4 linked regions of the Tamandua tetradactyla genome follow. The protein of the gene in region 2 purifies or fractionates together with the protein of the main gene of each other region. This does not show direct contact. Links are inferred from orthologs where the notes say so. Each region holds a gene or a part of one and is shown on either strand. Other genes may lie near its edges. The genes, in order: KAT2B, TRRAP, EPC2 and histone H2B type 1-A.

The links.
Region 1: the proteins of TRRAP (region 2) and KAT2B purify together in Homo sapiens (affinity purification with mass spectrometry; 5 studies listed by BioGRID and IntAct, with this or other methods). This does not show direct contact. The link is inferred for Tamandua tetradactyla from reciprocal best matches to the Homo sapiens genes TRRAP and KAT2B.
Region 3: the proteins of TRRAP (region 2) and EPC2 purify together in Homo sapiens (affinity purification with mass spectrometry; 3 studies listed by BioGRID and IntAct, with this or other methods). This does not show direct contact. The link is inferred for Tamandua tetradactyla from reciprocal best matches to the Homo sapiens genes TRRAP and EPC2.
Region 4: the proteins of TRRAP (region 2) and histone H2B type 1-A purify together in Homo sapiens (affinity purification with mass spectrometry; 3 studies listed by BioGRID and IntAct, counting the BioPlex papers as one, with this or other methods). This does not show direct contact. The link is inferred for Tamandua tetradactyla from reciprocal best matches to the Homo sapiens genes TRRAP and H2BC1.

The regions. Positions count from the first base shown.
Region 1 is NC_135341.1:68,209,427-68,216,550, reverse strand, and holds the start of KAT2B (histone acetyltransferase KAT2B), read left to right. Parts: upstream 1-4,116; 5' UTR 4,117-4,210; coding exon 4,211-4,513; intron 4,514-7,124. UniProt on the Homo sapiens protein: Functions as a histone acetyltransferase (HAT) to promote transcriptional activation. Has significant histone acetyltransferase activity with core histones (H3 and H4), and also with nucleosome core particles.
Region 2 is NC_135349.1:6,908,192-6,915,646, forward strand, and holds the start of TRRAP (transformation/transcription domain-associated protein), read left to right. Parts: upstream 1-4,426; 5' UTR 4,427-4,525; intron 4,526-4,814; exon of another isoform or gene 4,815-5,037; intron 5,038-5,176; exon of another isoform or gene 5,177-5,461; intron 5,462-5,494; exon of another isoform or gene 5,495-6,771; 5' UTR 6,772-6,833; coding exon 6,834-6,933; intron 6,934-7,043; exon of another isoform or gene 7,044-7,240; intron 7,241-7,322; coding exon 7,323-7,372; intron 7,373-7,455. UniProt on the Homo sapiens protein: Adapter protein, which is found in various multiprotein chromatin complexes with histone acetyltransferase activity (HAT), which gives a specific tag for epigenetic transcription activation.
Region 3 is NC_135329.1:118,547,799-118,554,632, reverse strand, and holds the start of EPC2 (enhancer of polycomb homolog 2), read right to left. Parts: upstream 3,023-6,834; 5' UTR 2,949-3,022; coding exon 2,796-2,948; intron 1-2,795. UniProt on the Homo sapiens protein: May play a role in transcription or DNA repair.
Region 4 is NC_135351.1:28,934,984-28,940,478, reverse strand, and holds histone H2B type 1-A, read left to right. Parts: upstream 1-4,472; 5' UTR 4,473-4,499; coding exon 4,500-4,910; 3' UTR 4,911-4,968; downstream 4,969-5,495. Other genes in the region: histone H2A type 1-A, read right to left, coding at 3,828-4,223. UniProt on the Homo sapiens protein: Variant histone specifically required to direct the transformation of dissociating nucleosomes to protamine in male germ cells.

The sequences.
Region 1 (7,124 bases), on a different chromosome or scaffold from region 2:
TGTTAAACATAGAGCTAACATATGACCCAGCAATTTCACTGCTAGGTATATACCCAAAAGAAGTGGAAAATATGTCTACACGAAAACTTGCACACACATTTTCATAACAGCATTATTCATAACAGCCAAAATTGGAAACAACCCAAATGTTCATCAAGTGGTGAATGGATAAACAAAATGTGTTATATCCATAAAATGGAATATTATTCCATCATAAAAATTATTGAAGTTTGGGGCATGTTTTAATATAGATTTAGACCTTGAAAACATTATATTAAGTGAATGTAGTCAATCACAAAAGAGCACATATTGTATGCATCCATGAAAATGAAATGTCTTGAATAGATGACTCTATAGTCAGAAATTAAATTAGTGGTTGCCAGGGGATGGGGAGAGGGGAGAATTTTTTTTTTTTTTGGCAGGGGAAGGTGATGAAAATATTCTAAAATCAATTGTGATGATTGTATAGTTCAGTGAATATACTAAAAATTATTGATTTGTACAACTTAAAAGGGTGAACTTTATGGTATGCCAATTTCATCTCAGTAAAGCTGTTATATATTTTAAAACAACAACAACCAAAAAAACTGGGGCAAAAAACCTGAATTAGGTTGTAGATGAGGTTCATTCCTGCATCTTTCTCTACTGTTTTGCCTTTCCTGCTTGGCCCGCTCTCCTTCCCCACAACTACTTTTAAGAATTTGCTGTGCATCTTTCTAGATTGTTCTCTTGCTTTTACATTTTATGTGCATTTATTGAACAGATGCTGAACTTGCTCATATGTTAATGAGAGTTTGTCTTTAGCACAAACAGAATTACACTGTGCTGGAGTTAATTCAGTGTTTCTTGGAGCTCTGTGTACGTTATTGCGTTTAAATAAAGGTCATTTTGTAACAGCTGTATAATATTCCATAGGGTGACTATACTACAAATAACCTTCAGTAGTCAGCTTGCTCCCTACAATTCCGTTCCCCAAGTCCATGTTATTTTCTAATTGTGATGTTCTTACCACATTTAGTTTCTATGTATTTTAAAGGCTAAAATACTGTCTTTTCTTTTTCCTTGGTACCCACTTCCTAACAGAGTGCTCTGCCCACAGGAGGAGCTTACTAAATGCTCACAACAGCTTGATTATGAAGGGGCAACAAACCTGTTGAATTCTTTGCCCTTGAAACTTCCCTGCCTTGTACACAGAGCACACTTTCACATAAGGCCTCGAAACCGTGAGACTTCAGTTTAAGACAGTATATCTGCATGCTCTCAGCAGGGATATAATGAGAAATAACGTTCAGTTGATGTCACAAGCTATTCGCTATTCAGACAGTGGTCGTTTTGATAGTAAATTGCTCTGAGTTTGGAAATAATATGCTTCCTGAATTCTGGGGGTGGCTTGAGAGGGGAAGGTAATGGATGGTGAGTTAATATTAAAGGTGGAACCCGTTACGCCCCTATGCTTAATGAAAATGTTCAAACATAGAGGAAAGTTGACATAATTGTATAGCAAACACTCATACACCAACCACCTAGATTCTATCAGTAACTTTTTGCTACTTTTGCTTACTTCTGTCCATCTCCCCATTGGTAGATGCATCAATTCATTTTAATTTTTGATGCATCTCAAAGCTCATTTGTTATCTCAAAGACATCAGGATATTGCACCCCTAAACTTTCAGCATAAATATTATTAACTAGAGTTTTTATGATTAAAATCAAATTTTGGAGGTAACATTTACATCCAGTGGAACGTACCATTCCATAAGTTTTACAGATGTCTACACAGCGTAATCGAAACTTCAATCAAGATATTTCTCAGCATATTAGTTTTCTAGGGCAGGTGTAACAAAATGCCACAAACTATATATGTAAAAACAGCAGAAATTTATTGTCTGAAATGAAGGTGTCAGCAGGACATGTTCCCTTGGAAACCTGGAGTGGAGCATTTTTCCTTGCCTCTGGCATCTGGTGGTTTGCTGCTGGCAATCTTTGGCATTCCATGGCTTGCACCAGCAGCACTTCAATCTCTGCTTCTGTGGGCACATGGTGTTTTCCCCTGTATCTGTCTGTTCCTGTGTCCGAATTTCCTTCTTCTTATTGGGCACCAGCCATATTGGTTCAAAGCCCACCCTAACCTAGGGTGGCCTCATCTTAGGTAATCAAGTCTTCAAAGACTATTTCCAAATCAGGAGGTAGGGGTTAGAACCTGAGCATATCTTTAGGTGGGACACAATTCAATTCATAATACTTCATTCATTCATTCATTCTTGGGAATTCTGACAGATCTGCTAATATCATGGGAGTTTGACCCGGAATCACAGCTTTTAAGACTCCCATCCTGCTTTGGTGAGTAAGAATGGGAAAAAAAACCCCAAATCTGCAAAACACCCCAGCAAAGCCACAAGAGAGTAACAGTGGTAAAGTGAAGCACATCAAACCAAGAAAGGAGGAATTGAACTAACTCTCCTGATGGAACCTGATAAGTCGGCCATTTCAGACCTTTACACTGGGCTCAAGTTGGGAGAGGATATTTCCTTTGGTCCTTTCTGACACCACTTTATGTGTCTATACTTCTTCGTAGTTCCACTTTTATATATCACTCTGTATTAAAAGTTGAAGGAATATGGGAAATCTGGGTAAATGACAGAGAAAATTAACTGGGATGGGGAAGGGAACATTTCCCGGCGAAATCTGTTTCTTAAGAGGTCTCTGGCCTTCTGCGGGATTGGGTGAGAGCTAGAAGGCACGCGAAGAATCTGATTATAAGCACATCATGTCCCAAGTTGTACATCATAACATTTGTCCTCCAAAATTAGGGCACTAGTGAAGGGCGCTGAGAAGTAGTGCTTGACTTTTAAGAACTGCTTTTGAGAGGCCGACCGGGCATAAATTTGAAACGCAAAACTGAAATGTTCGCTCCACATTCCTAAACACCACCCTCACAGCCATCAGCGCAAAAACAGTTGAAAACGCCGAGTCAGTTAAAAAAAAAAAAGTTCCAGGCCAAAATAAACACTCATCTTGGATGCTGCGTAAATTTTTTTTTCTCGGTTACTAGGCATGCCGGTGATATCACATTTGAAACTGTGGAAAATTTTTAAAAAGAAAAGAGCAAGGGGTTATAACCCCGACATGCAAAGGTAAGCCCTGATAACGTTTTTAAAACTTTGATTCAAACTTCTCCTCCTGCCCATGTTTTTAATTTTGACAGTGTTTTTTAGGCAATCGTTCTTTTAACAGCCAGCATTAAAAAAAAAAATTACAGAAAATAATTGCTCGGCAATCTTTTCCCTCCTCTGGCGGGTTTCACCCAGAAACTACAAGAAAGCCTTTTTAATTACTTTTTTTTTCTTTTGATAGAAACGTGTTTAAAAAAGATTAGCAGATACCATCACGTCTTTATTTTTGGTGAATTAGCAACAAAGAAAAGGATTAGCATGGACGGGTACTTTTCAAAAATAATTTTTTTTTTCCCTCTGGCTCCCGCTAGGGTGGAGGAAGTTGTCTCGGCTCCGAGAGAGGGTAGAGAGAGTGGAAGGACAAATGACTGGGACGCCCCCTTCTCCCGCTCCAGGCTCGGAAACGCGGGGGTCGCCTGGGGAGCTGCGAAGAGGGAGGCAGCCAGCAGGTGCCTGGGCTCCAGCCCCCTACACCCCTCCTCAACCCCACGCCCGCCCCCACCCCGAGCTTGGCCTCGCCTCCAGGCGGGCGAGCGCTATAGGTGTCGAGGCGTGGGGGTGGGGGGCGCAAACCCCGCGGGGAGCAGAAAAGAGACCCAAGGGGTCCTCCCGGCACCGGCACACAACGAGAGTTTCGCATCCCCCTCACCCTGCTGGCACACAGCCCCAGCCCTCCACACGGGGAGCACGTCCGAGGCCAGCGAGCCGAGCAGAGCCCCGGGGAGGAGAGCCGGGGGAGGGCGTGTGCAGTGGCAGCAGCAGCGGCGGCAGCGGAGCCGCTAGTCCCCTCCCTCCTGGGGGAGCAGCTGCCGCCGCCGCCGCCGCCGCCACCACCGTCAGCGCGCGGGCCGAGGCCGGAGCGAGCCGGGCAAGCGGCGCGCGCGCGGGGGAGGGCGGGGGCGGGGAGGGGGGTGGGAGAAGGGGGCGGGAGGGCGTGGGGGGAGGGTCTCGCTCTCCCGGCGACCAGAGCCCGAGAGGGAGACCCTGGCGGCGGCGGCGCCTGACGCTCGGCGCCTCCTGCCGTGCTCCTGGGCGGCATGTCCGAGGCTGGCGGGGCCGGACCGGGCGGCGGCGGGGCAGGAGCCGGGGCAGGGGCCGGGGCAGGGGCCGGGCCCGGGGCCCTGCCCCCGCAGCCCCCCGCGCCGCCGCAGGGCTCTCCGTGTGCCGCCGCCGCCGGGGGCTCGGGCGCCTGCGGACCGGCGACGGCAGTGGCGGCGGCGGGCACGGCCGAAGGACCAGGAGGCGGCGGCTCGGCCCGGATCGCTGTGAAGAAGGCGCAGCTGCGCTCTGCTCCACGGGCCAAAAAACTGGAGAAACTCGGAGTCTACTCCGCCTGCAAGGTACCAGCTCGCCGCTCGCGGACCGCGGCTGGGGGCGAAGGGCCCAGCTCTGTGGGGCCCCCGCCCTCTCCCCCTCCCCCTCCCCTCCGCCCCCGCCTCCCGCCTACCGCCTGGGGCCGCTGCACCGCGGAAGTGCTGCTGCCGCCCGCGCCCAGTTAGCTCCTTTTCGGATAAGAGTCCCGTTGGGTTGGAAGAAGGGGAATCACCAAGTCGGAGAACCCGTTCCCCACTCCCTACCCCCTCCTCGGATAGAATACCCTTTGCATTCGCGCTCCGGGGCTGCCCTGGGGCTTCGCTGCTCTATAGGAGCTCGCCGGAGGCGTCTGCTAGGGAGTGGAGCCCTGTTCACGGTGTGGCAGGACGCCCCAGGGTCAGGAAAACATCTCTGGGATCTGAGTGACTCGCTTGCGCCCGGTGCCCCACTGGGAGGGGTTGGGTGCAAAGAGTGAGGGTGGAAAAGACTCTCGGATTCCTTGCTCTGAGAGAGAGAGAGAGAGAGAGAGAGAGAAGGGGCAGGACGCGCAGGGTGGGGAGGTGGACACTGCCCGAGGCGAGGGTCCCTGGAGCGCCTGGAGCCCTCGGCTGGGGGCGGAGGTACTGCAGCGCGCCGTGACAACCTTGTCATTATTGTATTATTACTTATTTAGTTAAAACGCTGTCCTAACTGCTCGGGGTGTAAATAGGACTTGACAAGGTGACAGCCCAGCACTGTGGGCACTGCTACTCAGTTTGAGGATACACGTTTCTTTCCATCCTGTTCTCCATCCCAGCTATCGGTGGCCCCTGGGCCCTCAGCTGAAGACCCAGATGTAGGTGCTGCGCGCCTAGGGTGGGAGGATTGCCCAAGGCCGAGGGGCAGGCTGGCCCTGCACTGTCAGCAGAGGCTTTGTTTTGACAGGGTGACAGCTGAGGGGGGCGGAGACTTGGCCTTGTCAGCCTCTGCGGCCTGTGGCTGAGGCGGGGAAGACTCTTGCACACACTCAATCACCTCCCGTGCACGTATTCTTCCCGTCTGCTTGTAAACAGGGTCAAGTTCCCAGATTTCAGATGGCCACAAGAACTCTGCAGTGACCGCTTCTGAGTTTTGGTGTAAAGGTTATCAATACTGCTAGAATTCCTGGACTGTCTTGGTCCTGCTGTTTTTAGTATTTCCAGGAGTTTCTCCACCTCAATGGAATGACTGTGCTTGCCCTTTTCCCAGACCATTCATCTCTTTGTGTATATATTGAGCATTTGCTGTGAACCTTACACAGGTTCAATAAATATTTGTTGAATGAATGTAGGATCCAGTGCAGTGCTTCTCAAACTTTAATGTACATAGGAATCTCCTGAGAATCTATTAAAATACTGATTCTGAATCAGCTGAGATTCTGCATTTCTAACGAACTCCTATGTGATCCTTTACTGGTCCACAGACCACACTGCAAGTGGAAAAGACCCAGGTTCAGCCTTGACAATGTATCTTAGTCGTTTATAATTCAGCTGAGAAAATTAAAACTATGAAATAGTAATGTGACATGATATTTCTGAAGAAGAAATGTGAAAATGTTAAAGTAGGGAACATCCTTCTAAAAAGGAGAAAGGCTAGGAGTTGGTTATAAAGGGCATTAGACCAATCAGAGTGAGACCTTCAGTGTAGTAGGCAGAATGGAGTGTTGTGCACAGAATCTAGAATAAGTTCAATTACTTGGTGAATTTGTGTTTTGCATTGTCTCATGTAGGGACTGTGTCAAGCTCTGTGTTTCTGTTCTGGTTTTGTATTGGGTTCCCATCTTGAACACCACTTCTCCCCACTGCCTGCTGTCACCTTATTATCTAACAATTCCCTGAAATTTTGAGTTCTTTCTAAAACCATGGGCATATGTGCCCTGCATTGATATTTTTGATCGATCCAAATTTTCACGCATGAGATGTAACCTAAAGGTTGTGGTTTGAGTATTTCGTGTTCCCACTCACCTCTACCACACTTACAAGAAGAAAAAACATCTACAATTCTCCTTAAAACCTTAAAGGCTTCTTGTCCTGCTCCTGGAAAACTCTGAAAGCTTCAACTTTTATTTGCCCATTTATTCAATAAATATTTAGAGAGGTCCCACTGGGTGCCAGATACTATGCTAGAAGCTAGACTGTGATACTCAGAGTCTGTCCTTCTTGAGGTACTGGTCACTCATGTGTGCAAGTGTGTGTTGGAGGTGGACTGTAAAGCAATTACAATAAAGTTCAGAAAAACTGTTTTACAAAATTGATGAGGGAAGCCAGAGCTGGGCAGTTCACGAGATAGAGCCTGAAGAGGATGGAGATGGCTTAGAGAAAGTGCCAGTGGGTGCTAAGGACACTTGGCTGCTCAGGGTAGTAAGGTAGCGTGAAGCTTCTTGTAATGGAGCAACCGAAAACAGTTCTGAAAGGTAGAAAACAGTTCTGAAAGGTAGGCGCTGGGTCAGCAGGAGCTAGCACTCCATTGACCTGGCTGCGAGGGTGGGAAGTTATGGTCATGAGGGCACTGAGGAATGGGGAGAGTGGCATCATCAAATTTGCTTTCTTTTCTTTTTTTTAATACTGGGCTTGGTTGGGTGTGAGTTGGTTTGAGACATCAGAACCTATGGTTCTTTTC
Region 2 (7,455 bases):
CACAGAAGGTTCATGGTTCCTTGGTGTCAACTGTAGTTGCTGAAAACCTTTCTAAAGCCTGCTTGCTGGTGCCAGCAAGGGTAGTATATCTGATTCTCCCTCTGCTAAGGGAAAGTCTGCAGCCCTGGAGTCCATAGTCCTAACAAATCCTCATTGTTCTGTACAGCAATGTAACTAAGGGAGGTGGGGACCACTGGGTAGATAACAGTGATCCCCAAAAAGCTTGGAGTGGGCAAAACTGAGTTCAAAGTGCTCCCTTTGTTGACTGTATCAAGGCAGCTGGAATTGTCAGACATCGGGACACTGGGTCACCCTGTCCAAGCTCACAAGAAACCTAGAGGGAGGATAAGATGCCAGTTTGTTCATTTATCACAGTGGGGGTGGGGTGGGGACCTCTTTGCAGGTCCAGCCTCCAGAAAGTCCAATCTCTGAGGCCCTGAATAGCCAAGACAATCTTGAAAAAGAACAAAGTTAGAGGACTCACACATTTCCTCATTTCAAAACTTACTACAAAGTTATGGTAATTAAAACAGTGTGGTACTGGCATAAGAATAGATTTATAGACCAATGGAATAGAATCAAGAGTTCAGAGTTAAATCCACACATTTATGGCCAGTTGATTTTTGACAAGGGTGCCAAGTCCATTCAATGGGGCAAAGAACAGGCCCTTCATTGAGCAGTGATGGGACAGCTGGAAATGCTCATGCAAAAGAATGAATATGGACCCCTATCTCTCACCATTTATAAAAATTAATTCAAAATGGATCAAAGACCTAAATATAAGAATACTATACAATACACAGAGGAAAACATAGGGAAATATCTTCAGGACCTTGTAGTAGGCAATAGATTTTTAGATTTTTAACCAAAAGCACAAGCAACAACAAAAATAGATAAAATGGGACTTCATCAAAATTAAAAAAACTTTTGTGCATCAAAGGGCATTAGCAAGAAAGTGAAAAGACAATCTATGGGATGGGAGAAAATACTTGGAAACCACATACCTGATAAGGGATTAATATTCAGAATATATAAAAACAGCTACAACTCAACAACAAAGCGATAACCCAATTAAAAAATGGGCCAAGGATTTGAACAGACATTTCTCCAAATATGACATTGAAATGGCCAAAAAGATTATGAAAAGATACTCAATATCATTAGTCAATAGAGAAATGCCAATTAAAAACTGTAACGCATTAAGTAGATATCACCTTGTTGTTCAAGATGTAGTGGAGAGGCTGGAGGGAACTGCCTGTAAATGTTGAGCTGTGTTCCAGTAGCCATGTTTCTTGATGATGATTGAACAATGATATAGCTTTCACAATGAGACTCTGTGAATGTGAAAACCTTGTGTCTGATGCTCCTTTTATCTACCATATCAACAGACGAGTAGAACATATAGAATAAAAATAAATAATAGGGGGAACAAATGTTAAAATAAATTTAGTTTGAAATGCTAGTGATAAATGAAAGGGAGGGGTAAGGGGTATGGTATGTATAATCTTTTTTTTCTGTTATCGTTTTATTTCTTTTTCTGTTGTCTTTTTATTTCTTTTTCTAAAAAACTAACACACAAAAACTATAATTATAGCCACTAGTATGGCTATAATTTTAAAAAATGAAGGAATTAAAAAAACAAATGCTGGCAAGGATGCAGAGAAAGAGAAACCCTGTACATTATTGGTGGCAATGTAAAGTGGTGCAGCCACTGTGGAAAAGAGTTTGGCAGTGTGCTGGTTTGAAAGGAAGTATACCCCCTAGGAAAGCCATGTTTTAATCAAAATATCATTTCATAAAGGTAGAATAATTTCTATTCAAAGTATGTTTGAAACTGTAATCAGATCATCTCCCTGGATGATGTGATTTAGTCAAGAGTGGTTGTTAAACTGGATTAAGGGACATGTCTCCACCCATTTGGGTGGGTCTTGATTGGTTTATTGGAGTCCTATAAAAGAGGAAACATTTTGGAGAATGAGAGATTCGGAGAGAGCAGAACAATGTAGTCATGAGGTGCAGAGAGTCCACGAGCCAGCAACCTCTGGAGATGAAGAAGGAAAACGCCTCCCGGGGAACTTCATGAAACCAGAAGCCAGGAGAGAAAACTAGCAGATGACGACGCCATGTTCACCATGTGCCCTTCCAGCTGAGAGAGAAGCCCTGACTGTATTCGCCATGTGCCTTCTCACTTGAGAAACTCTGAACTTCATCAGCCTTCTTGAACCAAGGTATCTTTCCCTTGGTTCCCTTGGCCTTTGATTGGACATATCTATAGACCTGTTTTAATTGGGACATTTTCTTGGCTTTGGAACTGTAACCTAGCAACTCATTAAATTCCCCCTTTGGAAAAGCCATTCCGTTTCTGGTATATTGCATTCCAACAGCTAGCAAACTAGAATAGGCAGTTTCTCAGAAAATTAAACATAGAAGTATCACATGACCCTATAATTCCACTCTAGGTGTGTACCCCAAAGAATTGAATGCAGGGGCTTGAACAGATCATTGTACACCCAAAGTTCCCTGAAGCACTGTTCATAGCAACCCAAGTGTCCATCAACATATGAATGAATAAACAAAATGTGGTCTATCCATACAACGGAATATTATTCAACCGTAAAAAGAAGTGAAGTGCTGGGACATGCTACATCATGTATGAATCTTGAAGACATTGTGTGGAGTGAAATAAGTCAGACACAAAAGGATAAATATTATATGCTTTCTCCTTATGAAATATTAGAAGCAAGTTATAGAGACAGAGAGCAGAATAGTGGTTACCAGGGTGGTGGAAGAGGGGAATGGGGAGTTATTGTGAAACAAATATGAATTTTGGTTTAGGATGATGGAAATATTGTCTGGAAATAGATAATGGTGAAAGCAGTATTTGCATCGTACTTATGTCAAAGAACTGTCCACTTAAAATGGTTAAAATGAGTTTTATGTTAATGTATATATATTTTACAATTAAAAATAAACAAATAAAAATCAAAACAGTGTGGCAAGTACTTGGATAGACGCTCAGGTCATAAGAAGTGTAGGGCCTTCACCAAAGCCAGGGTGCCTGCTTGCTCTAAGCTAGGCTTAATTTGTGTTTTTATCATGTGCAATTAACTCAAAACTTAAGCAAAGATTTTGCCTATTGCAGTTTTTGTTTTGTTTTACGTCTGCTCTCCTAGCAAAATGAAGTAGCACACCGATTTTGGTCCTCAGATTTTCAACAATCCCCAACTTCAGACTTCAGACTTTTTTGGTGGGGAATGAGGCATAGAAGATTTTGCTCACAAACAGGGAACTTCTTCCACGGCGGTAGGGGTGTGCTGACTCCTTTTACTTTTCCTAGGGCAGACGATTAATTGATGCTAAAAACAATCCCAACACTCCAGCTGAAGCTCCTCTTGTGTGGCAACATTAAACAAGAAAGGGGCATGTTCCAGAACAGGGCAACTTCTAGGAAATCAGCAGGTATTGCAAGCTCTATTTATTGCAATGGGCAAACTGTATCTATTCGGGAAGCTGAAGATTTTGGTGGGTGTGAGGATAGGGGTTAGAGGATGGGGCAGGAGGTGGAGCGAGGTCTTGGAGGTACTGGAGTTAAGGTGATCACTTTCTGGCTTTGTCCCTCTGACATGGTAACCATCCATGACCAGGCCCACTCCCATGGATGGAACATGTAGGTGAGGCACGACGGCACGCCCACGTCCTGATACCCAGCTTTGGGGCTCAAGGCAGGAAAACTCACGAACCTTTAAGAAGTTTGTATTTTGAGTGCCCTTGCCTGGGCATCAAGTTGTTCTGCCTCACTGCCCCCAGGGCCTCCACGTAGTTTTGGCCTGGCCGGAAGCTTTGACTCCTCCGGGTTTTGCCCTCCGTGGAGCGCAGCGGGAGGCCTCGGCATCTGCCCGCGGGCAGAAGGCGGGCCAGAGTCGGCCACCTCCGGGCAGAACTCCGGGGCTTTCCTAGACATGCGAAGTCTCGGGTGGTCTCCAGCCTAAGCCTTCCCAAAGACCCTCCTCTCCCTCTGGCGGTCGAAGGAGGAGCCCAGGGTCACAGAAAGGAAGCCCGGGGGTAAAACCCCAGCCTTGCCCGCCACGCTTCCCGACCTGGGCCCGACCGCCGCCTGCACAGGGAGCCCCTCAGGTGCCTCCCGCCCAGCAGCAGCCCCCGAGCCTCCCTCTCTTCCCCCGGCACGGGTCCTGCGGAGAGACTAAGGGGCGGGAGCTGCCCAGGGAAACTCGGCAGTTGCCTCGGGGGGCAGCCGAGTCGGCAACCCCACCCTCTGCAAACAGGGCTTTAAAGACCAGGGCGGGCCCACCCGTGCCCACCCTGGCCGTGGATGCCCCTCCCCACTCCCGCCCAGGCCGCACCCACTTAGGGGCGGGGGCGGCGGGACCTAGTTCCCAGTCGGCGGGTGCTGCTGCTTTAAGCGGGGGCGGGACTGCGCGCGGCGGAGCGGCGACGGCGGCGGCCCGGCTGGCTTAGCTGGGGGTCGCGGGCCCGGGGCTGCAGGAGGCCGGCGGCCGAGGTCGAGGTGAGGGCGAGCGCCCTCAGCGGGGACGGATAATCGGCCCCAGGAAGTGCGCGCGGCGGCTTCACGGGGCCGGCCCAGGAGTGGGGAGGTTTCCGCGGCACGGCAGCTCCGGGAAGGGATAGAAGGAGGCTCCGACCGCCCCGGGCTCCCCCGGCCTTCCCTCGGAGCCCGGTCCGGACGGCGGGGCATAGCGGCAGCCTTGAAACCTCCGCTCGCTGCCGGGCCCAGATGGGGCGAAGCGGATGCGGAGGGCTAGCGGGCGCGGAAATTGGCCCTCTGCGCTCGCCGTAGCACGGCCTGGGAGGCGGTCGCCGAGTGTCGGGGTGGAGTGGCGGCGGGGAGACGGTGACAAAAGGAGGGAACCGGAGGGCCGTTTGGGACCGGAGGAAGCGGGCGAGGGACAAGGGCCCCCTCCCCCGACGGCGCCCCCTCTCCGGGCCAGCCTGGCGCTCCCCCCCAACCCGGCCTCCACGCAGGTACCTGACTCTCCGGATCCGGTGTGGAGAGCGAAGGTAGCGGCTACCACAGCGCCCCCTCTGGCCCGGCGGCGCCGCCTCAGGCTCGGCGCGGCCGGGCGGGCTTTGGGGGTCTGCAGGGTGCGGGCGACGGGTTACCCGGGCGCGACGCCGCCCCCTGGCTTCTGACCTGGGCCTGGCGCGGGGGCTGGGCGGAACCGAGGCCCGGCCCCTCGGACTCCGGAGTCCTGGAGCTGCTCTGGGAGAGAGTTGGCATGGGCGGTCTCCTCTCCTCAGACTCCTGGGGCCCAGCGGAAGGCGGGACCTCGCGTCGCGGCACCCCGAGGAGTGGAAGACTTGACGCCTCTGAACTCTGCGGGCCGGCGAGGACTTGAAAACGGGCTCCGAGGCTTGGACGAGTTTGGGCAGGCCTGGGCAGGAGCAGGGGGTTTCTTAGGCAGGAAGAGGCCTTGACTCTGAGGTTTGGGACTCTCGTTGTGGAGATGCCGGTGGGGGAGGGGGATGTCTTAGGTAATTGGAGGAGAGATTGTGACTTGAAAGAGGCAAGCAATTGCCAGGACCCTCAGCAGGGCTGACAGAATCCTGGTCTTAGTTTCGTTAGTGACTCTTCTTGTCCTGAGATAGTGGACAAATGCTAGGACAGCTACCGGCGGTCCTCTTTTGTCTGAGAAATGACCAGAAGGGACTCTTTGGTTTGAACTGCAGGGGAGCATGTCCTCCTGCAGACACATTATTGTTCTGTCTGTTGAAGAAAGACGAAAGCTAAGCTGTGAAACCACCTCTTAATGCAAAGTAAAATCAGGCATTTATATATGCAGGGAGGATGGGTGAAAGAACAATTTCACCAGGTTCTCTAGACATTTTGGCCACAGCTCTTAAAATAAAAAACAAATCTCATTCATTCAGGTGTGTCCACCTGGGAGCAGCGATTTTCAAAGTGGTGTCAACAGTCTGTTTTCTATTCATTTTTTTGAAGCATTTTTTATTCATTCATTCGAAGAGTTCGGTTTTTTTTTTCAATTGAGTGCCTAATCTGTGACAGCTGCAAACAAAAATTTACAGCTTCCTGTACCCTTCACTGGGGCACACAGCCTCTCTGGGTGGTGCTTGGGAATCCACCTTTGTCACCTGTTGGTTTTAATGCACACTGAAGTTTGAGAACCAGATTGCCTAGGATAGGGGTTGGCAAACTCGTCAGCAGGCCAACTCCAGCCCGATCTCTGTTTTTATACTCTTGTTTTCATACTGTCCTTGAACTAAGGAATGGCTTTTACGATATTAAATGGCTAAGAAAAAAATCCAAAGCATAATGATGTTTCAGGATACATGAAAATTATGAAATTCAAATTTAGCATGTATAAATAAAGTCTTACTGGAACATAGTCGCACATTTGTTTACATGCTGTTGTCTGTAGCTGCTTTCTGGCTATAACAGCAGAGCTGAGTTGTTGCAACAGAAACTTCATGGCTGCAAAGCCTAAGATATTTTCTATCTGGTTCTTTACAAAAACAGTTTGCTAACCTCTGGCTTAGGGTAAGAAAGACGAGGGTAGGGGAGAAAAAACAAATGTGTTTAAACATTATGTTTAGATACATTTAGTAGACAAAATGGATCTAGATAAATTTTATTTAAAAAAAACAGAGGAAATAGTGTCATATCCTTGATTAACACAAAAATAATTTAGATGAGCATAGGCATTTAGATCAGCTTTTCACAGATTCTGAACCTGTGCCTTGATAAGTTGGCTAACTAAATGCTTCTTTTCATAGGCTGGTATGAACTCATGGACCTAAAACCATTCTCTTAAGAAACAGACTAGCACAAAAGAAAAATGGCGTTTGTTGCAACACAAGGGGCCACGGTGGTTGACCAAACCACTCTGATGAAAAAATATCTTCAGTTTGTGGCAGCTCTCACTGATGTAAATACACGTGAGTTGATGCTTTTCGTCACGTAGGAAATGCATTTATTCGTCCTCAGTTCAAATGATGTGCACACTGAAATAAATAATATCCTAATTTACACTTTCTTTAGGTCTTGTGGAGAAGCAAAGTGATGAGCTTAACTGGCTGGAGCCCCAAAGAGGCACGTGTGTTTGTGCGTGCATGTGTGTGTATGTATTTGTATGCTCATCTGGGCATGTGTCTGGTGTACGAGTGTATGTGACTGACTGTAGGCAACTAGTTATGTGCCTTCTGTTGGGCTGTGATGGTCAAACTGATAAGATCTGATTGTTTCTCTTAAATTATAAAACTTAAGTAATTTTAGGAACATCCTTAACTTAATTTCAGTTACTAATGATTTGTTTTGACATTTACAGCTGATGAAACGAAGTTAAAGATGATGCAAGAAGTTAGTGAAAATTTTGAGGTACATACTTTATATTTTTTATTTTCTGTTATAAATATCCACATATATGTACTTTCCTTTTGCCGCTGTTTTTCACTTGTAAC
Region 3 (6,834 bases), on a different chromosome or scaffold from region 2:
TCAATTCCCGGTGCCTGCCCATGTAAAAAAAATAATAAAAAAAAATAATAAATTTACATAATCTAACTTAGACCAAGTGCCATAAGCATCAATTCAGAAACCAAATTATAGGAAGATGCCAACTGGCAAACCTTCGAAAATAAGGAAAGGGAAGAAAAGCAGTAAAAGATACCTGCATGTCTGAAAGAAAAAATGAACTAACAGAATACCACTACCAATGCCAAAGAACACCTAGATTACCTTCCTGAGGCATATCAGAAAGTAACTCAAAAAGCAAGTCAATGACTATATAAACAAAGATGATAGTTCAATGGCTGCACAGAGGAGAAGACTTAATTTTATTGGGGAGTAGGGTGGAGGAACAGAAGCCATCCACGAAGTCAAAGGGCAGGATTTTGCAAAGTCAAGCAAGATAGTGGTCACACTGTGGAGAAATTAGTAAATAGGAAAAACTTTAGTAAAGTTTATTAGTAAATACATAAGCCAAGATTTAAAAAAAAAAAAAAACAGTTCCATGTGATTTTTAAGAATACTTATAAAAGTAACTGGATCACACAGATGCTGAAAGTTCAGTTGAACATACAATTCAAGTGAAACACAAAAATTTGTGAAATTCAAAATACTTTACTGCTGCTGCTTAGAACTGTTTATCAAGGTATAGCATTTTGTTTTAAAGTGAACAAATCTCCTTAATAAAGAAGTTCTGTAAATAAGACTAAGAAATGAATTGACATTAAAAACTAACATGTAATTTAAAAAACTAACACTCCAATTAAACATTCTGGGAAGCAAAAGACTTTTATACTATAAATCTTAATGTCTGGCTTTGTTTGGAAGTTTAAGAACTTCCACTAGTGACTTTAAAGAGGCAGAGAGGACAAAACAAAGAGTCATAGGTCCTGGGTTTCAATTCTATCAGAATTTGGATTTCTTCTTCCTCAAAAACTGAGGCATGCAGCAGCAAACTGAAGTAAACTGAACAATTCTGAAGAGATCCAACTTTGGCAGTCATGCCCTAGACTGCAATTCACAAGTTTTACTGAAAAAGATAATAGCACAGAATCGTAACAGGTGCTAAGAACTTATTTATGACCAACATAAAAAAAAAATAATTGAACTGCAGATTTTCCTTCTAAATTCAGATAAAATACCAAGATACACCGAAAAAATAAAGACCAGGTATATTGTTAATTATTGTTTGCAAAAAGTAATCTTCCAGGAGTTAACTGTTCATTCTAGAACAGGTTTCTTGACTCAAATTCTTCCCAACTAATTTCAAGAAACTAAAGAAAGTACTGATACTAAACTCATAACCCACCTTTCTTTTTGGTTCAAAATATATTAATAGAAATTTAGCTTTGTGAAATCCAAACCTGTCTTTTTTAAAACGTTATTAATGAAAACTCAGTTATGTGAACCATCCTGCATGGAAAACTGAGCTAAGCTGGAAACAAATTTAATTTAAAAAAAAAATTCACATAGCATTCAGCTCAAAGCCTTAGGCAGAAATGTTGGGATTTTTATTTTATATATTTAAACAATACTGAGTGTTCACCCTTATACTACAGCTTTATTCATTTTTATTGAAAAGGTTAAGTCTCTCAAGTAATCAAACACTAAAGAGAAATGCGATTAAATCACAGCAGAAAGTAGTAATAACAGGGTAACATAATGAGGTCAGAACTCCAGCAGCCAATCAAAGACATAAAAGCATTTCCTGCAATATTAATAGTCAAAAGAGAAAACCAATCACGGAGACCTTGAGCCTTCTTTTGACAGTCACAGAATCAAGAGAACCAATCCACACACACCCGGGGTTGACAATAAGGCGGGACCGTAAGTTCATTGAAGAAATTCTTGAGGATGCAGCTACTATGAACTTCGCACGCAAGTAACACCACTCGAGAGTCGTAAACACTCTCGTCAAGCCAGATGAAATTCATCCATATGCAAAATTCAACCCATAAGGGTAGGACAAAGCAGCATTTCTGCATTTCATCAAACACACATCTGTCAATTTAGAAGTACTAGGTCCTCAACTTCTGAAAAACTACCCTCCGCTGACAATTCCGAGACCGAACACCGGCACAGCGCAGCGCGGGCGGCCGCTCGGAAACGTCTTAGTTCATTTCTAACGCTGCGGCCGTCCCGGCGAGGTTAACAGAGCCGCGGCCAAGGTACGAGCCCGTCGCGCCGCTCCAACGCTACATCCCGCTCCGGAGTCGTTGCCCCCGCCCTCCCAGCCGCAATGCTGCACCACCTCATCCCGCTGCACCAGCTCGGGCAGAGGGGAAGAGGAGTGAGGATTACCTTGCTGAGAGGAAAATATTTGTTTTAAAAGCGCCTTACGTTCCATACGTCATTTTAAAAAGAACCCAATGCAAAACCAAATTTAAAAATGGGAAGTGAACACATATTTCTGAACCAAAGGATCCCTCACCCATTAACCCCGCGCCAGAGGCAGGGGAAAGAAAGGTAAACAGAGGCCTACGCCAAGTGCGGCCGGCGCATCCCCTGCGCCATTCCCGGTCGCCGCTTACGACAAGGCCCCCTTACGACAGCGTAAGCGGCGCTGCGAGCTAATCACAACACTGGGACGCAACAACATGGCGGCCGCGGGCGGGCGCTGCGCCGGCAGAGAGAGTTTACGCTACTCCGCCGGCGTAGGATCCCATGCGTTGGAGCGGCAGCGGCGCCCTCCAGCGAGCGTAAAGCGCTCTGTGAATGGCGAGGCCCGACTGACAAAGGGGAGGGGGGAGGAGAGAAGGGGGGGTAATAAACACTCGAGTCCCTACCGATTCCTCCTCCTTCTCCATCCCGGTGGGCATCTGGGGCACAGCCCGGTTGATGGAGACGCAGTCGTTGAGATCAGGCATATCCTTGCCGCGGTAGATGGGCAGCGGTTTGGCGGCGTCCAGCGCCCGCGCTCGGAAGGAGAGTTTACTCATTGTCTCCCCGCCTTACAGGAACAGCCCGGGCGGCGGCGTCGGGGCGGGCGGGGAGGGGGGGAGGACTCCCGCCTCCTCCTCCACCTCCTTCCTCAGTGCAGAGCGGCCGGCCCGCTCCTCCTCCTCCTCCTCACTGCCCCCGGCCACAGCATGGGCGCCCACCCCGCCCGAAAACAGCCCCCCGCCGCCCGCGGCCGCTTCCACACACTAGATCCGTCGCTCGCCCGCCCGATCCGCTCCCTGCGCCATGGCCAACATGGCGGACATTACCACAGCGGCGGCGAGCGATCCCGGCAGCCCGCGCGAGAGCGCGCCCCCGTCGCAGGAACGCGCCTCGTCCTCTCCCTCCCTTCCTCCCTCCTTCCTCTCCCTTCCCCTCCCTCGCCTGCCCACCCACTCTCTCCGCGGTGCTGCCGGCCCGCGGGAGCTTGCTCAGTCTCGGGCCGCTCAGGGGAGAGGGGGCGGCGGCGACCCTCGGCTCGCTAGCCTGCGCTCTCGCGGTGTGGCAGGTGCCAGGTGCGCAAGTTATCCCGCCCGGCAGAGCGTGCGCCTCTTCCTCCGCGGCCCGGTCACCCGGCTCTCTGGACGCCCCGAAGGAAGGCTCCGGCAAAATCCGGCGGTGCCGAGCAGTGTGTGTGTGTGTGTGTGCGCGCGCGCGCGTGTGTGTGTGTGTGTGTGTGTGTGAGAGCGGGAATGGAACATGCTGATCAGGGCTACGACAGCTACCACCCGAAGTTGTGCGTATAAAGCGCTTATTTCCAAAACGCCCGAGCGCAGGCTAATTCGCATCCTCCAAGTCGCACGTCCCCTGGAAGTGTGAAAAGACCTTTCAATCTGCCCAATCGGAGGGGAGCAGACCTCCCCTCCACACACCCCCCACCACCCCCAAACGCTCGTCCTGTCCTAGTCCTCTTCGTCGCATACTCTCTTTAATACCTGACCGAAAGAGCTCTCTAAGGTAAGGCATCCTTGCTCATCCTCGCCTTCACTGGGAGTATGGATGCTAATGGCAGCAGTGAGAGTTAGTGGTTTCAGGCTGCTGGGTGCAACAAGTGTACCGGTCTTCCAAACTTCAGTATATTTTTAGGATGGTAGATATATCTCTGATTTCGGGCCGGGTTGAGGCGGAGATTTTTTTTTAACGTTAAACTTAGAAAATTTGACCAAGGCAGTAGGCATTTTTGAAGTGGTAGATCTGTGTAAAATATTGGGTGCTGTGAAAGACGCAAAGAAGTTTGATATTAAATTCCTTCCCACGATGATCTTTCACTTTAACGGACAGTTAGAAAGATGAACAACATTAAAAGAAAGAGTTGAAGAACCGGGCAGCTGGAAAGATAAATGACAGCAAAAGATGTAAATACTTGAAAACACCATACCAGAGGTGACATGAGGCAGTAGCACATGATTACTAAACGAGTTGTACGAGCAATAATTGCGAGTTCAGAGCAGGGAGACATTACTTTTAGCCTGAGCTGATCAGAGAAAGGTCTAAGGAGAAAGGAAAATCAAGGTGAGTCTTAAATAAATAGGAGCTCTTGCTGAAGTAATCTGGTTTAGTTTCTTGGTTTGACTTAAGCATTACAGATTTCTCACAAAATCCCTAGGAAGAGGGTAATGCATCTTAACATTTCGTAATACATGATAAATATTCTGTCTAACTCAAAGAAAGGTAGATGGTTTGCTTAAATCCAGCAGTGAAAGAAAAAAAAAGATGCCTACAGTCATTTCCATTTGATGCCAAAACTATATCTTTTCCTCTATTACCTTCTTTTCCCCTCCTTTTTTCTTTCTCTTCCTCCTTCTCTTCCCCCTTTCACGCCCTCTTCTCTCCTCAAGGCAGAATAGTAGATATGGAGTTCATGGTTATGTCTAAACAGTCTAACCAGTTTGGCCCAGCAAGACTCTGGGGCTTAGCTGTTTTCCATCCATTTTGTTGTTGGAAACAATGGAGTTGCTGTGACTCATTTCTTCTTGTAAGCTTTACCTTCCTTAAGCTTATGCACATGTCCCTTACTGGACTGCTGCACTCTGAAGGAGTTCCAGTCCTCTGCAAGGAAGACATTGTTGGGAGAGGGTCAGCACTGGGTTCAAGCCTGAAAGAGAGAAAAGTTAAGGTGATAGTTGAAGAAATAAATGAGTCATCCAGGACTTCTATTTAAATTTCCAGCACTTCTCAGAAAGTATAGTTTTCTTCTGTTCCCTATATTTATTGTTACTCCTTCTCAAGAAAGAAAATATTGAGTTTCTGTAGTATCCTAGATATTATAATGGATAGATGTATTCGCTCAAGTAATTGAATTCCACTTAATTCTCATAAGTCTGTGAAGAAGTGTAATTTTACCAGCAAGAAAGCTGAGATCCAGACTAGATTCAAATCCAAGTCTAGCTTTACTCCAAAACTCATGTGTTCTTAATAGTCCTACACAGCTAGCCAAGCTCTTCTGTTTATTGACCATTCAGTATTCCAAAGTTGTTGATCCAGATTACTGAGCCCTTCCTACCAATGGGTTATAAATTGTATAATCAAGAACCTAAAGATGTAATAGCCCCAGGAAGGGCAAGAACACTGTCTGCTCTGTCAATCACATCTGAACATAGAGCAGGCATCTAACGTACGTTGTTGACTGATATTCCACCAGGAAATTCAGTGAAACTGACCCCATTCCACCCCATCTCAGACAGAGTTCAGGTACCTTACTGGGCTGTCACCTGACCTAACCACTGCTGCCAATATTTGCTCTTAGGACCTACCCTGCTCTCCAGCTTCCTACCTTTGGGTATAGGAATTTTTGAACCAATTAAGGAAATTCAAATAAACTTTTTTTAAATCTGAAATTCAATAATAGGGACAGGTTTTTGCTAAGGTAGTTGTTGCTTTACTTTTGTTCTTTTGCTTTGACCATGTAATCGGTTTCTTCCCCAAAGCTCCATTTCCTTTTTGCCTCGTAGGCAATGATTATAGAGCGGGAATAAAACAGTTTGAGTCAAATAACACAATACGCTTTTCAAGTGAGACACAGCCTGTGTTTTCTTGGCTTCCAGTTCAGTGCTCAAACCAGAATGTACCTCTGTTTCACATTTGGAAAGTAGCTTTTATTTGTATATAAATATTATTTCTCATAAAATAAAGTTTATTTCTAATCTATTTGTTGAATACCCATATAGTTCTTAGTGCTGCAAACAGAAAATATCTTTTTCAACTTCTAAAGTAGACCTTATAAAATGTCTTTATCGAAGTCTATTTAAAATGGTTGTGCAGTTTAATAGCCTATTTTAATTTCAGTGTACAATGCACTGAGTACAGACCTTCACATAGTCTACTTCAGATATGCTCTAGACCAATTCCAAACGGCATGCATTTAGCCCAGCAAGTGTAATCTATATAAACACCCCAAAATTAGAACCAGTTATAAACCATATCAAAAATAAAACCATTGCCTAAATGTGGTCTAAAATTAGAATAAATGTCAAGTAACTATAAGAATTGAGATTATATTCCACTTTCTATTTCCCAGTACTGCTATCAGGGCAGGCAACTTCCAAATAATGAACAAATTACTTTTTTAAAAGAACCTTAAAACTAGTAAACACAGTTACCATTCAACTATCTCAGAGTTTCTTAAATGTCATGTCTTTTCTAATTGGCTCCCTGTTTTAGCAAACCCAATTGAAAGTTAATTGGGTTGGTATGTGAACTGCCTTCCCCACTCCTCCCCCTCATTCCCAAGAAGGAGCCCAAAACCAATAAACAAATAAAGCTGTGTTGTTTTCCATATGTAGTCTGAATGTGGAGTTTGCGTTCTTTGCAATCAATTGAAATCACTCCCCTGGTTCTAGTGCCCTTTACCGAGGCAGCTCTGAATCTTTGTGTTGTGGGGAAAGA
Region 4 (5,495 bases), on a different chromosome or scaffold from region 2:
CAAATCTATAAGTATGATACGATTTCATAAAATTACACACACACAACAAACAGCCATCAAGAACTGGTGAAATTTGGGCGGGCCACAGTGGCTCAGCAAGCAAGAATGCTTGCCTGCCAGGCCAGAGGACTCGGGTTTGATTCCTGGTGCCTGCCCATGTAAAAAAAAAAAAAAGCTGGTGAAATCTGAATTAGGACTATAATTAATAGTATTGTAACAATGTCTATATCTTGGTTTTGATACTTGTACTATGTTTACGTAAGATATCTTTGGGAGAAAATGCAGAACTCTGTTTTTGCAACTACTTTGTGCATCTAAAATAAGGAAAACCATTTTCACCTTTATTTTCCTTTGGTAGTTCTGAGCACAGAATGTGAGATTTTCCCCCCTCCAATCATCAGGAAGTTTTGAGGTAAAACTTTATCATATTTTCTGGCTGGGTATACGAATTTCCCAGCCATAATTAAGAAAAGGGCTATTTAATTTCATTGAAAAGAGCGATGTGATAAGGGGCCGGGATTAAACACTAAGCAAAATTAATTTACCATTATGTGGGGTAAGGGGTGCTCAGTGTGGCAAATTGAAAGTTGTAGCATGAATTGTCAAATTTCCTAGCACAGGAAAGAAAATCATCAATGAAACAGATTAAGGAAATTGGGAGGGGGCAGTATTCCTAAATATGCTCTGTAAAAAAAGAAGTTGCTGAGGCTGAAAGAATCCTCAGAGATTAGAGTCTGAGATACACAGACATTCTTCCCTCCCCCAACTTCTTTTAATAGTGATAAAATTCACTATTTATAGTTTATTTTCATTTTCTCAATTTGCTCCAACAGCAGGGAGCACCACTCTAACTACTTCCCTTCAATCTCCAGGGTTGAACATCCAGGAAGTATTCGTATTGGCTCAGCTCTGGTGTCGGTCTCTCTCTTTGGGCCAATCGTTGTGATCTATAGGGGGCGATTGATTTCACTGGCCAAAACAGTGTGCAGTGTGAGCTACTCTGATTGGCCATTTCCAACATCCCATTGCTATTCCAAACAGCAAGTCGTGGACTGTTTGTAAACTGGAATAGGACACAAACGAACGGGATAAAATGGAATCATTTAGATTTGTAATTTCAGAATCCCTCCCCCATCGTATGGTAATGTTTCTGAAAACTTTTATTTTAGCTCTTGGTGTGCACGTGTATTTCTGAGTGTTACCTGAGTTGTATGAAACCTATTTCTTAATATGTGAATTAATGTATAGTAAAAAAATTTTTTTTAATTTGAAAACTCAGTTCTGCAGTTTGCGTATTTTAATTTTATTGTTTATAATGTGTCAGCAGAACATTTCCTTTCTGCCTTTGAGCACGATTGCTCCCTTAACCCCTCTACCTCTCATTCACTCACTTAGATAATAATCCGATCTCCTCATTCCCCTTCTGGGTTTCAACATCAAGCCTTATTTGTCCTTTCTCCATGCCAATTTCATTTGTCTTTATTCTCCTGGATTCTACCTTTTCCACAGTGTGATTTAAGTGCAATATTGAAGTCCTTTTACTGAAGGACTACTACGTGGCTTTCTGAACTTATGAAGTAACAAAAGACATCACCCACCAAAAGTCCTATTTTATTTTCTTAAAATGCCTTATCATGTACTATAATTTGCAATACCCAAGGATGATAGAGTAACACCATAATTTTGAATTAGCTACAATCAGTATTACAGAGAATATAAGTGATATAATAAATTGCCATACTTTGGAAGTTGACCACAGCTCTTTCTCTGAAAACGTGGATGGATGGCTTTGAAAAGAACCTTTGAGTTTCCAATATAATTATTTCCTAATGTGTAAAGTAATTGTGGGGCATTACCCTGCAGAAGGTACTTGCACATGATTTTGTTGTTGGTATTCTCCTTCTGAGGCAGAATCATTTTAATATCTTTTTCAAAAATTTGTCTAATACTCCAGAATAATATTAAATACTAGTAATGAGAAAAGTCTTCTAATGATAAGTATACTATTATTCCACTAAGAAATGAAGGTTATTCAACTAAACATAATAGAAAAATGCCTTTTTTTTCCCTCTATAATGTGAATTCTTTGCATTTTGTTCAGCGTTCAAACAAAACTTACATTCTTAGGTGGATCCAAATTGTCACTGTTTTTTTTAATAGACTGCAGAGTTGATTGCTCATATTTAACAGAAGATTTGTGGCTTCTTATTTATAACTGAGACTGTGCTATACTTCTCAGCATGCTCTCTTCATTAGGTTTTATTAAATTACATTTTCCTAGCAAATATGGTCTTTTTTTTCATAATTGAAACCATTTCATTAGCTGCACATTCATCTTTTTCTTAAAGATGTTAACATGAAACACCCTTGGAAGTCTGGTCTCCGAGAATGGTAACTCATTAATGACTTCAATTTTTGTTTTCCATCTCCCTTAGTCCTCACTGCTTTCTAGGTTCAATTTAAGCAGTTTATAGTTTTTCAAAACTCTTACATTTCATCAGTATCTCCAAATAGGTTACATGGATTTTTATGAACTGCGACCTTGTGATTTTTGAGTACTTTCTTAGGTTAATTTTGTTTTTCTTGCTAAGCAAGGTTCCCAAGATTTGGGTTCATAATTGTTTTCAACAGTAGCTCTTTTATTTATTCAACTTCATAGGTTTGAGTATAATTTCATCAATACAAGTATTGTAAGAAAAAGTAATTTTTTACTTTTTGAATGTCTGTGGTCGTTATAATTGTACAGAGTTTTGTCTTTGCTTTGTGTTTGGAGAATTTCACTTACACCATTTATCCTGTCACCAATTTGTTGGTGTTTTTATTTCTGTAATCTTGGATGTGGCTGCTTTATGATTTTTCCATTGGTTGTATGGGTTTTTACTCATGTGCAGTGTGAAATGACCAACAGTACTATTTTGCCTCATGTAGTGGTGGTAGACCTATTGAAGAATTTATTGCTGAATGAAGATAGCAATTTGTCACATTACCAACTCTAATTTGACACTACTAATTGAATATCAAAGTGGTATCATTTTTGTTTGCAATATACCCTAAATGTACTATTCATTTCTATCGTTTTTCATAGGAAAAATACATATCAAATATTTGTATGTGTATTTTGTCTTGTGGCTTACTAATATGTCACACTGACAAATTTCAAGGTATTGAACCATCCCAGAACCTAGAATGAAATCCCTTGTTAGAAGGCACAAGAGAACTCATGTAGCCTAGAGATATGTTGTGACTTCTTTGCTGCTTGATTCATGTCCACAGACGTGCTCTCAAATGAGTTGAGCTGAAAGCTGAGAGTTTACAAGTTTCCTGCACTGATTTATAACCCAATCATCATTATTTAACTGTACTCTTTGAAATGCAGCCATAAAAAAAGACTTTCACATCTTCACATGTTTTCTTGGTAACTGCTGATTGTCACGATCCTGTGTGACCCTTCTCCCAAGGTCAAAACTGCCTTAAAATGATGGCCTTCCCACTGCTTGGAGCTAGCTACCTAGGGTCGCTGCTCTATTCACTGCTAAAACAGCTCCATCGATAATGACATTTTCCCCAAAGTCAGAGGTTCTGCGAGTTTTGCCTCTGTGGTCAATGCTGTTAGGTCTTTAAAAAGTGAACAGCCTCATTCACCAATCTCTTCAGACCTATTGGTTTACAAAATTAGGTTATTTCCGATTTACCCATTCATTGTCACATTTATTTTTTGTAATCTGCCCCAAACTCTTTTGCTGAAACTGTAGGTGGCTCTGAAAAGAGCCGTTGGTTTAAATTTCTGAGACTCAGCTCACTCAATGAACTTTACAACTTGAGGGACGTTACTTACACTGGACTTTATGATGATGGCTCTCGGTCTTCTTGGGCAGCAGCACAGCCTGGATGTTGGGCAGGACACCGCCCTGCGCGATAGTCACACCACCCAACAACTTGTTGAGCTCCTCATCATTGCGGATAGCCAGCTGCAGGTGGCGCGGGATAATGCGGGTCTTCTTGTTGTCGCGGGCCGCGTTGCCTGCCAGTTCCAGGATCTCGGCCGTCAGGTACTCCAGCACCGCTGCCAGGTACACCGGGGCGCCAGCTCCAATGCGCTCTGCGTAGTTCCCTCTGCGAAGCAGACGATGCACTCGACCCACAGGGAACTGTAGACCTGCCCTGGACGACCGAGACTTCGCTTTAGCACGCGCCTTGCCACCCTGCTTTCCTCTCCCAGACATGACTTTAACATGCAACCACTAGCATAAGAAGAGATGCGGTTACGTTAACCTTAACGGCTGGCAATGGGGCCTATTTATAGTCTAACGGTAGGCTGTGATTTGCTATCTGATTGGCTGTTAGCCGCCTATCCAATCACAGAGCCTTACTGGAGTCACCTTATTTACATACACACCTCTATGCATTGTCCAATCAGATGTTAGATGTGCAAGACGTCATGTGAGTGCTGGGCCTATAAATACCACTCTTCGCGCTGGTTAACGCCGTTCGCTTTGTACATGGTGAAGGTGAGCGGTGTAGCAGCCATGCCTGAGGTGTCTTCAAAAGGCACTATTATCTCCAAGAAAGGGTTCAAAAAAGCTGTGATCAAGACTCAGAAGAAAGAAGGGAAAAAACGCAAGAAGTGCCGGAAGGAGAGCTATTCTATTTACATCTATAAGGTATTGAAACAGGTTCACCCAGACACCGGCATCTCATCAAAGGCTATGAGCATCATGAACTCTTTTGTAACCGATATCTTCGAACGCATTGCGGGCGAGGCGTCGCGCTTGGCGCACTATAACAAGCGCTCAACTATCACTTCTAGGGAGATCCAGACGGCTGTGCGCCTGCTGCTACCCGGGGAGCTTGCCAAACACGCTGTGTCAGAGGGCACCAAGGCCGTTACTAAGTACACCAGCTCCAAGTGAAGTGGTCTAGCCACCAACTAAGCGTTCACCCAAAGGCTCTTTTCAGAGCCACTTATAGACTCCAGGGAAGAGTTGTGGACTTGCACTAAGTGGCTTATGTGCTAACAGGGGTCAGGGCTGATCCTTATGATATGTCCCTTAAGAAGATTTCACAAGGCACGAAGGTTTTTTGCTGATAGGCAAACAGCAGGTTAACCTTCAGTTTAAGCTATTTAATGTAATTGAAGGTGAGCATACCGATTGTTTTATGGACTATTAAAATTAAGTGAAGTTTAGGAAGAAAAATGCTCATGTATTTGCAGCATTTTTGAGAATGGGAGATCTATAAAAACTTAGTCTGCTTTTGTAAATGCTGTACCTCTAGATCAAGAGAGATGAATGTTGCTGGCAGAGTTTGTCACATCTTTCTACCACAGAACAATGAAGGTTCTGGGTCTGAAAAGACCTTAGGCCGTTTGGGAAGTTGGGTGTGGGAGCTCTAAAGCTGCTTAAGTGTTTCCCCGCTGTGTTTGCTGTGGTGCATGAAAAAGCTCATGTAGGTGAGCCTAACTACCTACAGACTAGAGATTTATAAAGCAAAAGTCA